Linked DNA regions of Saccharomyces cerevisiae S288C. The protein of the gene in region 1 interacts with the protein of each later gene in a biochemical or structural test. Each region holds a gene or a part of one and is shown in the gene's direction. Other genes may lie near its edges.

Region 1 (11,898 bases):
CCCTCGCGAATGATTGTTTCACCCGGCTGGTAGATCTTGGTATCCAGTGCATCGGCAAGTTTGGCACGGTCGTACGTAGTCAAACTCTTCAAAACTGGCATGCTCTTCAAAAGATCGTCATACATGAGTCTCTTCTTGAAAGAGCTGCCCAAAAGTATTTTTCTGAAGGTGAGCCTGTCTAGAGCCCACAACAAACAGTCGGAGGTTGCTACAACGGTGGCAGCACGAGGGCTGTTGTACATAAGAGCAAGTTCCCCGAAACTGGAGCCTGGCCCGGAAGAGTTGACCTTGTTGTCGTTGACGTAGAAGTCAACAGTACCCTTTTCGACGACATAGAAGTAGTCCCCTTGGTCACCTTGCTTGATTATCGTAGCACCTTTGGGGACGGACTTCTCCTCCAGACAATTTATGACCAGCCTTTTTGAGTCGGAATCCAGCTTGTTGAACAGAAAGTTATTACGGATCGATTTTTCCAGTCTTTGCAATTGCTGCTCGGACTTTTCCTTATAGTGATCTGGAGTCCAATCGTCAAAATTGTTTGGTTGTAAGGTCTCACCACTAACAGAAGTACGCCTTTGGGCGTTGAAGTGCATTGGGAGTGGAGGAGTTGATGTCTTTTCTCTAGTATGCTGTTGTTCTTCCTGTGCTTGCTGGTGAGTGTCCTGTTCGTGCGGGTCTAAATTAAACCCACTTTTAAACACGTTGGAGTGTGGGTCCTCGTTCACAAAGGGGGATTTGAACATAACACTCGATCTGGATCTTGATTGAGATTGAGCTGATTGAGGTCTGGAAAATGACTCCTCTGGTTCCGGAAATAGAACAATGTTCTTTGCCTTAAATTCAGGCTCCCTGGCCTTGAGGAACGCTCTCTGTTGTTCCAGCCTTTTATTGAAATAGTTGGCGGAGAACTGAAGAAAGTCGGACGGATTAGCGGCGTTGATTTCGTTCTGGAACAGTTGCAATTCGGCTTGCGATTCCTTGGGCAAAGAAGATACCATCGTTTATTCTTACTGTTGTCTTTTGAAAATAATCTGCTTGTTGTAAATGATCTTCCTATTTATGTATGCGTGAAATGCGTGTAATGGATGTGATGATAGCGATCGCTTGACTTAGTCGAGGAAAGCGTAAAGTGTCCCTTTTTCTCTTTCCCTTTTCCCTGTTTGTTCAAATTTTCTCTTTTCTACCTTCCTCTTCGTTTTGCTCCTTGCCAGCAAAACGAGGAAGGACAAGAATTTTGGAGAGCGGCGGCGCGGCGCCATAATAAATGCACTTGAGCAAATGCAATAAGTTCAGCTTATGGCTTCTGCAACAAAGAAGAGGTCGGAATCCGAGCACAGTATAATCAATATATTATCAGGCAGAACAAAAGTGGCGGGTATAACACGAAGAAAGAAGGAAGGGTGGTGATTGGGTGCTTTGTTTTTTTCCGCTCGTCGTGGTGGCATGCGCTTTTTTTTTCTTGGGTGAAGATTAGCCGCCGAAGTCGTATGCTCCTCTTTTGAGCGTTTTGAAAGATAGAAAAAAGCTGAGTAAGTAAAATCGTCGGCGGCTAATCTGAAAAGTATATAAAGTCCTTTATATTTTCCACTCGTATTCTTTTCCCTCCTCCTTTTTTTTTTTACTTTCTCACGTATGGCTTGTTTCATTTATTATCAGATCAGTAATCACGTGCCGTGTCGTTAGAAATGACATTTGGTTCTTTGCCTTCTTTGTCCTTTTTCTATCTTCCTACTAAGAGAAACTATTATACAATACAATAAGAGAACATCGTGAAACAACATAAAAGATATCACGTCATCAGAGAGAGATAAAACATCACAACCAATTACATTACAGTGTATTCGTTTCTTCTTAGAGAGAGAAATAAAGAGCGGGATAAAAGGACACTACACAGTATACCCCATACCCAGGTGCAATAATACACGTATATCTATGTTTATTGCACATCAAACCCCACATATATGTCTGCCAGAAAACGCAAGTTTAATAGTCTCAAACCGCTAGACACCTTGAACAGCTCTCGTGCCAGCTCTCCAAGGTCCTCTGCTTCTCTACCGCCCAAAAGATATAACACTTTTCGTAAGGATCCGAAAATCGTTGATCATCTAAACAATGCTTCTACAAAGGATTTCTTACCAGTTTTGAGTATGAACAGCGAGAGTAAGAGGCAGATCGAATTGTCGGATAATGATGTTGATAATAATGATGAAGGTGAAGGCGTCAACAGTGGCTGTTCAGATCAAGATTTTGAACCTTTGCAAAGCTCTCCTTTGAAAAGACACTCATCACTCAAAAGCACTTCCAATGGTCTTTTGTTCCAAATGTCTAATAATCTGGGGAATGGTTCACCGGAACCGGCAGTAGCGAGCACTTCTCCAAATGGCTCAATTATTTCCACTAAACTAAATTTGAACGGCCAATTTTCTTGCGTTGATTCGAAAACATTGCGAATTTATCGGCATAAAGCACCATGCATAATGACTTTTGTCTCAGATCATAATCATCCGAAATTTTCATTGTATTTTCAACAATCGGTGATCTACAATTCACAAGTTAATCTGCTTGATGATGTTGAATTGATAATTTTAGATAAGAAGAACTCTTTTATGGCTATAATTTTAAAAGATCTGAAAAAGGTCAAGATGATACTAGACGTGAATAACTCTTCAATCAACATTAACACGAACATCTTGATATGGTCCACTGCAAGCTCCGCTTCAAATAAAAAAATAAAGTCTATTAAAAGATTCCTGTTGATGTCATATTCTTCGTCGATAAAAGTCGAAATTTTAGATCATAAAGAGCAGATTTTGGAAAGACTAAAACATCTGATTCATCCTATTTCTTCGTCATCACCTTCATTGAACATGGAAAGGGCAATAAACTCCACTAAAAATGCATTCGACTCTTTAAGACTTAAAAAAACTAAACTTTCTACTAATGATGATGAAAGTCCGCAAATTCATACTCATTTCTTATCAAACAAACCTCATGGTTTGCAATCCTTAACAAAAAGGACTCGTATTGCCAGCCTTGGGAAAAAAGAGCATTCAATATCTGTTCCAAAATCGAATATTTCACCCTCAGATTTCTACAACACTAACGGGACAGAAACTTTACAATCCCACGCAGTTTCACAACTAAGACGTTCAAATAGATTTAAAGATGTTTCGGATCCAGCAAACTCAAATTCAAATTCAGAATTTGATGATGCAACTACGGAATTTGAAACACCAGAACTGTTTAAACCTAGCCTCTGTTACAAATTCAACGATGGTTCAAGCTATACTATAACAAATCAAGATTTCAAGTGTCTTTTCAATAAGGATTGGGTTAATGATAGCATTTTGGATTTTTTTACAAAATTTTACATTGAATCATCTATTGAAAAGTCAATTATCAAAAGAGAGCAAGTTCACTTAATGTCCTCTTTTTTTTACACGAAACTAATTAGTAATCCAGCAGATTATTATTCTAATGTAAAAAAGTGGGTTAACAATACTGATTTGTTTTCTAAAAAGTACGTTGTTATACCAATTAACATAAGTTATCATTGGTTTAGTTGCATTATAACAAACTTGGATGCGATCTTGGATTTTCATCAAAACAAAGATAAAAACGATGCCATCAACTCCGATGAGATTTCTATAAATAATCCTCTGGTTAATATTTTGACTTTCGACTCGTTGAGGCAAACTCATTCAAGAGAAATTGATCCAATAAAAGAATTTCTCATATCCTATGCACTTGATAAATATTCAATTCAACTGGATAAAACACAAATCAAAATGAAAACGTGTCCAGTTCCACAACAACCTAATATGAGCGATTGTGGTGTTCATGTTATTTTGAATATTAGAAAATTTTTTGAAAATCCGGTGGAAACAATTGATGTATGGAAGAATTCTAAGATTAAAAGTAAGCACTTCACCGCAAAAATGATTAATAAATATTTTGATAAAAATGAAAGAAATAGTGCGAGAAAGAATTTAAGGCATACTCTAAAACTCTTACAACTCAATTACATCAGCTATCTGAAAAAAGAAAATTTATATGAAGAAGTTATGCAAATGGAGGAGAAAAAAAGCACCAATATCAACAATAATGAAAATTACGACGATGACGATGAAGAAATTCAAATCATTGAAAATATAGATCAAAGCAGTAAAGATAATAACGCGCAGTTAACCTCGGAACCTCCCTGCTCACGATCATCCAGTATTTCAACAACAGAAAGAGAGCCGACAGAGTTGCATAATTCCGTAGTACGACAGCCCACCGGTGAAATAATAACTGATAATGAAGATCCCGTTCGCGCTGCTTCTCCAGAAACAGCATCCGTTTCTCCTCCCATACGTCACAATATTTTAAAGAGTTCATCTCCTTTCATATCAGAAAGTGCGAATGAAACTGAACAAGAAGAATTTACGTCACCATACTTTGGAAGGCCGTCTTTAAAGACGAGGGCTAAGCAGTTTGAAGGCGTTTCGTCACCAATAAAAAACGATCAAGCCCTGTCATCCACCCATGATATTATGATGCCGTCGCCTAAACCTAAAAGGATTTACCCAAGCAAAAAAATCCCACAACTTTCCTCGCATGTTCAATCTCTATCGACTGATTCTATGGAACGCCAATCTAGTCCCAATAATACCAACATTGTAATTTCAGATACAGAACAAGATTCGAGGTTAGGAGTGAATTCTGAAAGTAAAAATACTAGTGGTATTGTTAACAGGGATGACTCGGACGTCAATTTAATTGGTAGTTCACTACCTAATGTAGCGGAAAAAAATCATGACAACACTCAGGAAAGTAATGGTAATAATGACAGTCTTGGTAAAATACTTCAAAATGTTGACAAAGAACTGAACGAAAAGTTGGTTGATATTGATGATGTGGCATTTAGTAGTCCAACTAGGGGTATTCCAAGAACCAGCGCGACAAGCAAGGGATCAAATGCACAACTTCTCTCTAATTATGGAGATGAAAATAACCAGTCTCAAGATTCTGTTTGGGATGAGGGCAGAGATAATCCTATACTCTTGGAAGATGAAGACCCTTGAAAGCACTCGCACGCATAGTTTTATATTTTTTATTCTTTTCCTCTTTATTTTTATTTTTTTAACATTCTCGCATAATAATAGTAACAGCAATAAAATAACTAGTAATATACATACTCACATAAATAGGCATATTTTTTATTTTGTTCTTTCGTATTCAGAATGGTAAATTTTTCTAATGAAATGTTTTACAAAAATTTTTTTTCTATAATTCTAACAATAAGAAATAAAACAGTGGAAAAACATATAACTTAATGTAGATATATATATGTAAATATGCTAGCATTCATTTTAAATGTAAGGAAGAAAACGCCTTTAACTTTCATCTGGTAAATTTTCTAAAGCTCTACCCTTAGTGTAAACCTCGTCTTTTACATTCTGTACAGTACTTTTGAACCATTGAATGAACAGCACAGTTGCTTGGAAAAAGAACGTAAATGACTCTAATGCTATCAGTAGTCCGAAATAAATATCTTGCATCCTTGTCCATGTTGGGAATGATTCGTTAAGCGATAAAGTGAAACTCCTGGATCCATGGCTAATATCGATAATCTGCTTTGTAGAAACATCACGTAAAAATACTAAGGATAAAATAATAATCGGCAAGACGTAAATTACCATGTGCAGGAAACCTTGTTTAAACAGTTCCAAAGCCATTGTTTTCAAGAAGTTCAATTTACTAGTATTTCTGTTTCTGAAAAATAGTTTCAATGACTTATATCCGGTTCCGAAATTGACCATTGACGAAATGATCCAAACGACGAATAACAAACTCTCGTCATATTTAAACCATTTGGAATTACCAATAGTGTATGAAGAATTGCCAAACACTCTGATGGTGAGATAATTGTAACAGGCTAGTATACCATCGGTTAAGACGACCCACGAAACCATAGTTCTAATAACCGCAATCATGATAGCTATAAACACCATCAGGTTATACTTCACCAACATACTATCAAATATACTGTTAAAGATGGCCATGAAAATTCCTTGACCCTCTTCCACATTATTGATATTATTAACAGGGGCATTGTTGATATCTCTCTCTGGTATATCGTGTTCCACTTCCTCTACTTCGTTTTCGTCAACGGCATGTTCATCGAGAGTGTTTTGGCCTTCTGTAAAATGAAGAATATCCTTAGCAATCTTGGATAAACAAACAGATCCGACACAGACATAATAAATGTTCAAATAGGAGTAGCTAATGTCAGAGAGTTCCTTCCATGCAACATAGACCTTATTTCTTTCACCTAACAATAGCTTTACGACTGGAAGAAAGCCGAAACTACAAACAAAGTTTATTAAAGCTTGACTAATAAATGTAACACCAAGCATTAAAATGGAAGCAAATAACCAAACCAGGCCAAGCAATGTCATATAGCGTAAACGGAAATCTGGAGGGACGTAAACGATATAATATTGATCATATTCCGTGTTTTGTTCGTCTAAATAACCAAATTCACCAGCAGCACGTTTGTTTCTCTCTTTAATTCTTTCCAAATCTAATGGTTTCAACAGCTTATCATCCTTTGTAACGGGGACAAACATTGTTTGTACATAATTTCTGGATACTATATCAGAAGAAGGAACACGCATTAAAACGCCATCGGGGACAAAATAAGCATGAACGTCACGAACTTGCCCAAACAATTCTTCTGCTTGTTCTAGAGTCTTTGGTTTAGTGAAAAGTTCTTGGTTTGACCATTCTGCATTCTTGGCAGCAATGTACTTGTAAAACAAATTGCGGTAAACAATATGGCCTCTCTCTGTTGGGGTATCTTTACCTAAGATAAAGGATGATAAACGTAATTTTCTTGAACATAACTTAAAAATTGTTTTCCAATACCTTTCCAATAAGGGTTTAACGTAAGAGCTAGACTCCAGGATCCTCTTCGTAAAATATAAAGTTAGCAAAATTGTATTGAACTTCCATGAAATAATTGATGTTGGTTTATAAGCTTCAGGAACGGATAATAAGTTCGATTTGAGCATGAATGGGAAAAAAATTCTAGTATGGAAGCCAAAACCTAAGACAATAAAAATCGCATAAATAAACATGGATAAGCAAAGCCTTGATAATTGAATACTCATCGGATGAATTAAACTATCATGCAAGATCTTAATATTAGGATCTTCTGGAGATCTGATAAAGAATAGAACACCTGGTCTAATGATATTTTTCCTAATCATTCCGATATATTTGGCAAACCAATACATGTAGAGAGTACCAATCGTCCAGTATACGAAAAGGGAAAATGGAGGCCATATTGCGCATATTGAAGGAACCCAAAGCATCCGACTATTGGATGCCAGGATTGGGCAAAATAATGAGAAATCTAGCATTACACCAGCTAGAATGGGGAATCCAGCCAATTCGATGAAAAATAAAGTGAACACCTTGAAAGTGCATTTGAGTGCAAATAAAATCTGGAAAATCAGCCTTCTAGTAGGGTTGCTCATTCCGTTCTCACGGCCATAACCCCTCGAGACAAGATTGGATGAAGCACAAACGATACTGACTGAGGTTAGATACGTCGTTAAAGCAGGTAAAGCTCTGATGAAAATTGAGTGCTTCATGGTGTTTTCAGTGTAGCCGTTGTAAAGATAAATGATGTCATGAATTAAGTGGTCTGAAATCCAACTCATCGCGACATCTACTTTAGGGACCAGTTTCGTCAGCCCATTGTAAGCTATATGAGCGCCAGACAAGTAGTAAAGATGGCACAACCCACGCAAAATAACCTTAAATATACCAAAATAAATTTTCAACAAACCGAACCCAATAAAAGTTGGAAACAAATAGGAAATTGCCAGGTATATTGCGGTGAAAACTACGGCAATTATGAAATAAGCAATGACATTCAACAATTTCAATTTGAGATTTATCACTAGAGGGCCTTGTCCTTGATCGTCTGGGTTAGCCTGTGCTGGTGGCACACCAACAGCTGCGCCAAAGTCTTGTTCGTCTTGATCGACATTTCCAGCTCTGTTTTGGGCAGGTGGTGGGATGAAAACCGGAGCGTTGGGCCTGTTTATTGCGTTCTGTTGAGCAGCGATTAGGTCATCAAATTCATTTTGCGCACGACGATTTGCCCACATGTCAATCGGATTGGGCTCTATATGATCACGGTAATCTGCCTCTTCTTCTGGTTGCTGCTGTTGCTGTTGCCCCTCTGCTTCTTCATCTTCTTCGTTGTCACTTGAAGACCCCGGTAAAATTCGTGACGAATCATCACCTGATGGTAAACTATTGTCAGAGTCGTTGTTCTCGTGCTCTTCCGTAGCCTCATCATGATCTAATTCGTCTACGTGGCGAAGGTTTTCAAAATTCCGATGGTCATTAGGATCCTGAGGTGGAACGTTATCGTTTCTGGGATTAATAACATTATTATTATTATCTGCTGCTGCGGCTGGCATGTTCAGTCTATCATGACCTTGCTCTTGACGATTTTCGTCATGAGCTCTCATTTCCCTCGCTAAATATTCAACCATTCTATCATCCATCATGGGGAATCTTTCCTTCAAACGTGATTTCAAGTCCTTGGGAGATAATCTTGGACCTATCTTGTGGAAAACCATTTTACTGAAAACATCCTCTCTTACTATCATATCGTATTGAAAGTACAATGCTATATGTAGTATCACTATCATAATAAATTGTAAAGACGTAAACGAATGGTTTTGTAAAAGTTGGTAAAAAATTGCTCTCGTGGTTAATTCTGGAGTTGCTGACTGATCATAACCATAAATCAAACTCTTTAGGAAATCACCAGGATAAGGGGATGATCCATCTAGCATCATGGTGTATAATTTTCCAAACATGTTCCATACCAAAGGAACACCGATAATATATAGTACAGCGGCCAAACCAATCGTTAAAGCCAAACGAGCTTTTTCGAAAAATGTCAAGATGCTCTTGGATAGTAGTAAAGAAAAAGGTATCTTTTCGGGCATGTTTTCCGCATATATCGTTTTGAATTGAATGGGATAGTGACAGATGTCACATTTAACATCCGCGCCTGGTTTTGAAATGTCTATATTTTTTGAAGCTACCCATTCCAACAGACAGGATTCATGCATGTATTTAATTGAGCCCCTGCATTTACAAGGATGGAAAAGAGGATTGTCCTCAGTAGCTTCTCCACGACAAATACGGCAGGTGGCGCCGGATGGCGCATCATCATTGAAAGTGGCGGTATCTGTTTCCTCGTTTGCCACCTTATGCAGTTCATCTCTTAACCTGGAGACATTAACGTCAGAATCAACATCCATGACTTTCACACTTCTAGTCTCTTTGATTCAATTAGTGGTACTCTTGGCTAAAAAAACAGTTTTTGAAATCAGTAACAAAGAACTATTCTTAACGTAATCTTATGGCTTCATAGATCGGTCATAATCATCTTTTCAATGTCCTCAATCGATGCGTTTTCAACCAGTTTTCCGTCTCTAATGATTTAATTTTTCTATTGAATTGAAAATGGTAAAAAGATAGCCCTGTAGGGGGCTCGAACCCCTAACCTTATGATTAAGAGTCATACGCGCTACCGATTGCGCCAACAAGGCTATTTCGTTGGAAAAACTACTTATTTTAGGAAGTAATAGCACATTTAAGATGCTTGTTGGAATGAAACTTTAAAATATCATCTGTTTAGTACTATTCATGTTACTAATTAAGATATGGGTGAATTTTGAGATAATTGTTGGGGGTTCCATTGTTGATAAAGGCTTATAATATTATGTATACGGAATATACTAGAAGTTCTCCTCGAGGATCTAGGAATCCTCATAATGGAATCTATATTTCTATATACTAATATTACGATTATTCCTCATTCCGTTTTATATGTTTCATTCTCCTATTACATTATCAATTTTTGTATTTCAGCTTCCTCTAACCTCGATGACAGCTTCTCATAATTTACGCCATCCTCTTACACCGCATGTGATGCTATTACTACTAAATAGATAACATTAGAATTTCATTCCAACAGCTTTAGTCTGTTTTAATAAACGCAACAGCACCATAATGTTATTAATTTTAATAAAGCCAAATTATGGCCTGCTGATTTCTTTTCATTGGTAAAAGTTCTATCACCCGTTCCCCATTAGTATGATAACCGATAAATAAACTCTATTACCTGGTTTCTTCGTTCCAGGAACGTTTATACCCTGACTACACATTTCTTTTGAAAAATAGGCCAATTGAACAATTAAGTTAGAAGCGGTTAGAAAAAGGTATAATAGGAAAAAATGCATCCAATTTTTACAGTTGAACCACTTGGGGGATTTTATTCTCGTATTGTAGCGGGAGCATTTTATCTTCGTACATCTTGGAAGCTGTAGATTAATCTTATTCCTATATGCTCCTTCAATCCACACAGCAAACCCCCAAATGGAAACGATCACTGAGTATGTTATAAACCAGCTTACGCTTATACTATTATCAAAATTCAAAAGATTGAACGGGGAAAATGGTAGAAATGAATATTGAAGCATTTTCGCAATGAAAATTAACCGCATTGTTTTTATAGTAATTCTGATGGCTAACGGCGGTAATACAGCATCCTTACGAAGAGCGGGAATAGTTCATTTGCCCTCTTTGATGGTTTGCATAACTGCGTTGTTGATTGTCTTAGGAATGGAAATATTTAACAAATATACCTATAATGAAAAAAGGGTCCTTCTTTTTAATTATTATTGGCAGCGAAAAAGTTGTCCCAGCTTCTACTTTTTTTCCCGTTAAAAAAGGAAGCGGCGGAAGCTGATCTACTCTCTAATAATAGACTACTCACTCGCATCTTGGTAACGAGTCCCTTTAAGATCTTGGTACATAAAGTTTGCTGCAGCAAAAAGGGCTTATTTGCGCATTCATGATATTAAACAACACCCTGTTTAGCGTGTTAATGATCCTTGTTTTATGCCAGTATATTCTGTATACCTTATAATAGAGTCAACAGTTAAATCCTAATCATTACCTCAGGACTTACCTATTTCTGAATATCATGGTCCACCATTCTACCTCAGTGAATTGATTGAACCGCACCATTGGAATTGTCATGGTGAGCCAGCGTGCTACAACTTCATGATTTTACGAGCTGAAAAAACACGCCCTTAGGCATAAAAACTCAATGGAAATCTGTAAAACAAAATAAATTTCGCTTTTTAACTTGGCCTAATGGGAATACTTTAACAATTGAACCTGTCACTAAATCAGAGGAAGTACATGCCTAATTACTCAAAGCTGTATTTAACTAATTTACCTATACTATCGCCAGGCATTCAAGGATGAAGACATGCGTCAATGCAAATAGTGACGGCTGCTGCATTAAAGAGGTGCTGCGTGGTGTAGAAAAGGCAATAACATGGACGATGCAAGGTTATTCAGACGCGTTGTTTGTATGCCATTTCCAATGATAATGTTGGTTGCGTTATATAGAAATGTGTTAGGAAGAGATTCTACAGTTGATTGCAGCTTTGACGTTATACTTACACCTTGGATAATGGCCAGTATGTTTTCCAAACGTATGGTGAATTGGTCTAATCCACGTCAAGCTGTTTTAAAAGTATGCAGCGCAGCCGTGACCTCCCGGATAGTTGCCAATTGGTTGTTTACGATGAACATATTATATACCAGTGGTGAAAAGGGTTTTTACTCGCTAGCAACAGCTGTGGTAATTAAAACGGTCACTGATGGGTTTACGGTGATACGGGTTTTCTCTATTCACCTGAACGAGTCAGTATATAGCAAGCCATTACCATAACATTGGGTAACGTCGCACGCAACACAGCTGCGGGTGTGTGTGGTGATTGGTTAGTCAATTGGTCATTTGGG
Region 2 (4,496 bases), on another chromosome or scaffold:
CCATATATATAAGACATTTAGTCCTTATTCCTTTCATTTTTTCTTGTTCTCACGTGGAGTATGCGATTCTGTGAAAAACCATCAAAAAAAAATAAGTCAAATGACATGGTTAAAACAAGAACATTACCGAAATGTATGATTTTAGTGAATATTTTCTAAATTTTTGAGCTTTTAAACTTAGTATTGACGTGCAGCTTCCTGGCAGGCTTTTAGTTGCTGCAAGTAATAATCACATATCTGGAAGTTGCCGTTGTTTTCATCCAAACAACGTGTAAAGTTTCTCGCGTCTATTTCACAAGTTCTTCCCAACTGCTGGTCCGTTTGGGTTTGGCCGGAGGTGTTGGCCATATTTTGCTGTTGTTGCTCAACAGGAGCGGAATCAGACCCGGATCCGGAAAACATACCGGTAATACCTGCACCTAGGGTGTGTCCAATGGTGCTACCAACGGCAACACCTGCAGCAGTGGAGGCCATCTGCGCAAACATACCTGGCTGTCTCGTTTGGGCACCTGCAGCAGGAGGGTGTGAATAGGCATTTGGTTGTTGTTGTTGTTGTGGATGAACTGGAGCCGCCATGGTAGAAGCGGACCTTGTCTGAGTAGGTCTCGATCTCGATATAGGTCTTGATGATCCTCTTGAACGTGCCATATTTTAGAATTTTGTTGCTGTTGTTGCTTTTCTTGTTCTGTTCTTTGTTCGAAATATTAATCCTTTTTCTTAAAGGTTATAAACTGTACGAGTGATAGGCTTATATAGGTCGCGGAGATTGCGGTGGAGTGAAAAAGCGCTTTTCTTTTATACCTTTGTTCAAGGTGGCGTTTGCCGTATAAAAGCACACATGACATAACCGAACCTCGGAAAATGAAGTTGCACTGTTATTGCCTTCCAGATGTGTAGAATCATCACCATCTTCTGTGATAAATGAAGAGGGAATCGTACGAGGACGCCAGCATATTTTTACATCAAAATTTATGTTATTGTTGAAGGAACATTGAAAAGATAGGGCGGGCAAAATCTGCGATCAAGCCTATCCTCTTTCATCTCAGCTGTTCTAGATGCGTTACCCGGTGGTAACTTCACTGCATATTATTACTTTATATACCTTATTCTATATGTTGCCCGGGTAGGGCATTATGTAGCATCACCCGGAAGAACTTTTGGACTTTTCTCTGTCAAAAGATATTACCTAAAAGGGTCAAAACAAAACAAACCCAATAAAGAAAATCCAAAATATAGAACGAATAAATATCTCGAGGACCTGGGATGATCTTTGAATGTACATCCTTTGAAACAAGGCATATCTTGAACAGTTACTCTTGTGCTACTCAACTTTCGTACAATACATATAGAATCACTGAGAAAGTAAATCCAATTCAAGCGGCAGTTTCAAAGAACAATAAGCCTTTTGTGTCAAATTCTGATTCTGCTTTTTTTCCTATTTTTTCATCCTTCAATTTTGTGGCATATACTACATTAACTTTCAAGAAAACTTAAAAAAGAAAAGACAAAAAAGCTAAACTGCATAGTCAAGTTTGTATAATTGAGCTGAGTATTATTTTTTGTACACAAAAACATTGGCTTTCTTATATCTTCTCTATATATACTCTCTTTCATTCATCGATAAACGTTACATTTGTTATTCATAGAGAATAAAAATCACAGCCGTGGAGAAGAAAGAACAGAGTAAGATCAAGTCGAATAAAGATGTCGTTGGGTCCTCTTAAAGCTATCAATGATAAGCAATTGAATACCCGTTCCAAGTTAGTTCACACCCCAATAAAGGGAAATACCGCAGACCTCGTAGGAAAAGAAAATCACTTTAAACAAACAAAGAGACTAGATCCGAATAATGATCATCACCACCAGCCAGCTCAAAAAAAGAAAAGGGAAAAGTTATCAGCTTTGTGTAAAACACCACCTTCATTAATCAAAACAAGAGGAAAAGACTATCACCGAGGTCATTTTTTAGGTGAAGGTGGATTTGCTCGCTGTTTCCAAATTAAGGACGATTCAGGCGAAATTTTTGCTGCCAAAACAGTTGCTAAAGCCTCAATTAAATCAGAGAAGACAAGAAAAAAGTTGTTGTCGGAGATTCAAATTCATAAAAGTATGTCCCATCCAAATATCGTTCAGTTTATTGATTGTTTTGAGGATGATAGCAATGTCTATATCTTATTGGAGATATGCCCCAACGGTTCATTAATGGAATTACTAAAAAGAAGAAAAGTTTTAACAGAACCAGAAGTTAGATTTTTCACCACTCAAATATGTGGTGCAATTAAGTATATGCATTCAAGAAGAGTTATACATAGAGATTTAAAACTTGGTAACATCTTCTTCGATTCAAACTATAACTTAAAGATTGGTGACTTCGGTCTGGCAGCTGTGTTGGCGAATGAAAGTGAACGTAAATACACCATATGCGGAACACCTAATTACATCGCACCTGAAGTGTTGATGGGTAAGCATTCTGGACATTCATTTGAAGTAGATATTTGGTCATTAGGTGTTATGCTTTATGCTTTGTTGATTGGTAAGCCACCCTTCCAAGCAAGAGATGTAAACACTATTTATGAAAGAATCAAATGTCGTGATTTTTCGTTTCCAAGAGATAAACCAATCTCAGATGAAGGTAAGATTTTAATAAGAGACATTCTATCCTTAGATCCAATAGAAAGGCCCTCTTTGACTGAAATTATGGATTATGTATGGTTTAGGGGAACTTTCCCACCATCTATTCCTTCGACGGTCATGTCAGAAGCACCAAATTTTGAGGATATTCCTGAAGAGCAGTCACTGGTTAACTTCAAAGATTGCATGGAAAAATCTCTACTATTAGAAAGCATGAGCAGCGATAAAATTCAGCGTCAAAAGAGGGATTATATTTCTTCAATTAAATCTAGTATCGATAAACTAGAAGAGTACCACCAAAACAGACCATTTTTACCACATTCTTTATCCCCTGGCGGGACGAAACAGAAATATAAGGAGGTTGTTGATATAGAGGCACAAAGAAGATTAAACGATTTGGCTCGTGAAGCAAGGATACGTAGAGCACAACAGGCCGTTTTGAGAAAAGAATTAATAGCTACATCGACCAATGTCATTAAATCAGAAATCTCCTTGAGAATATTAGCCAGTGAGTGTCATCTTACTTTGAATGGCATTGTAGAAGCAGAAGCTCAGTATAAAATGGGAGGTCTTCCGAAATCAAGATTGCCTAAAATTAAACACCCAATGATAGTTACCAAGTGGGTCGACTACTCCAACAAACACGGATTCTCCTATCAGTTATCAACAGAGGATATTGGTGTCTTATTTAATAATGGCACCACAGTTCTCCGATTGGCAGATGCAGAAGAGTTTTGGTATATTAGTTATGACGATCGGGAAGGTTGGGTAGCAAGTCATTATTTATTGAGCGAAAAACCACGAGAGCTAAGTAGACATTTAGAAGTAGTTGATTTTTTTGCCAAGTACATGAAGGCAAATTTGAGCCGAGTATCTACGTTTGGCAGAGAAGAATATCATAAAGATGATGTATTTTTGAGAAGATACACAAGGTATAAACCATTTGTTATGTTTGAACTAAGTGATGGTACTTTCCAGTTCAATTTCAAAGATCATCATAAAATGGCAATATCCGACGGAGGTAAATTGGTGACCTACATTTCTCCCTCCCATGAAAGCACCACATATCCCTTAGTTGAAGTACTAAAATATGGCGAGATCCCAGGATATCCAGAAAGTAACTTTAGAGAGAAACTAACTTTGATAAAGGAAGGTTTGAAGCAGAAGTCCACAATTGTTACCGTAGATTAAACCAATATTAAAGTAGAAAGAAATACGAATACGAAATTACCAGTCCATTGATTGGGCCCCATTAATAACTAATACTAAATAAAATAAATGGTCTTGCCCTTAACGAAGATAATATATAATATTTACCCCTAGCATTAATACCCTTTTTCTAAAGGTACGAAATGAACAAACATCTTTCATGTTAGTTCTTCCTTTTCAATAGTTCTCATATAGCGTTTTTTTTCGCCTGAGCGGTTCTAGAGCTATATCTATTCAAAATTGCCATGCTTTTGTATTCATATTGTATGTATGGGATGATAACCTGTCGCTTCCTGAGATTTTCTCAAAAATATTGTTTTGAACCTAGATTTCTTTTTAATTATTCTTACAGGTGCCCATTGGAAGAGTGACAACATTAATTTTGAAAGCTATTCACTTGGTACATCCGCGGTTTACCAATTTTTAAGTTTTATCAAAAGCTGGCTTACTTGACATGTATCTACAAACTTAAGAATACTATTATGGGCAGTTATTTGCTAATTCTTTGTTACCTAGTTAAAATCCAAAAAATCCTGATTTATATTCATTTTATTACTGTATTCCTTTTTTCAAGGCGGGAGAAACTTATACCGCCATAGTAAAATAAATAGTGACTAAGGTAGCCAGAACTTCTCATCAACAAATTGCGAAATTAA

Evidence for each region.
Region 2: of the proteins of ULP2 (region 1) and CDC5, one has a biochemical effect on the other in vitro, tested with the Saccharomyces cerevisiae proteins (2 studies listed by BioGRID).

What each region holds. Positions count from the first base shown.
Region 1 is NC_001141.2:290,672-302,569, forward strand, and holds ULP2 (SUMO protease ULP2), read left to right. Parts: upstream 1-1,961; coding exon 1,962-5,066; downstream 5,067-11,898. Other genes in the region: cAMP-dependent protein kinase regulatory subunit BCY1, read right to left, coding at 1-998; E3 ubiquitin-protein ligase SSM4, read right to left, coding at 5,379-9,338; EMA17 (Ema17p), read right to left, coding at 10,158-10,586. UniProt on the Saccharomyces cerevisiae protein: Insertion mutation in SMT4 confers temperature and benomyl sensitivity; high copy suppressor of a temperature sensitive mutation in MIF2.
Region 2 is NC_001145.3:268,345-272,840, reverse strand, and holds CDC5 (polo kinase CDC5), read left to right. Parts: upstream 1-1,704; coding exon 1,705-3,822; downstream 3,823-4,496. Other genes in the region: MIX17 (Mix17p), read right to left, coding at 178-648; YMR001C-A (uncharacterized protein), read left to right, coding at 1,264-1,494. UniProt on the Saccharomyces cerevisiae protein: Protein kinase required for the cell cycle where it is involved in mitotic exit. A component of the fear (CDC14 early anaphase release) network which promotes CDC14 release from the nucleolus during early anaphase. Phosphorylates SCC1/MCD1 and NET1.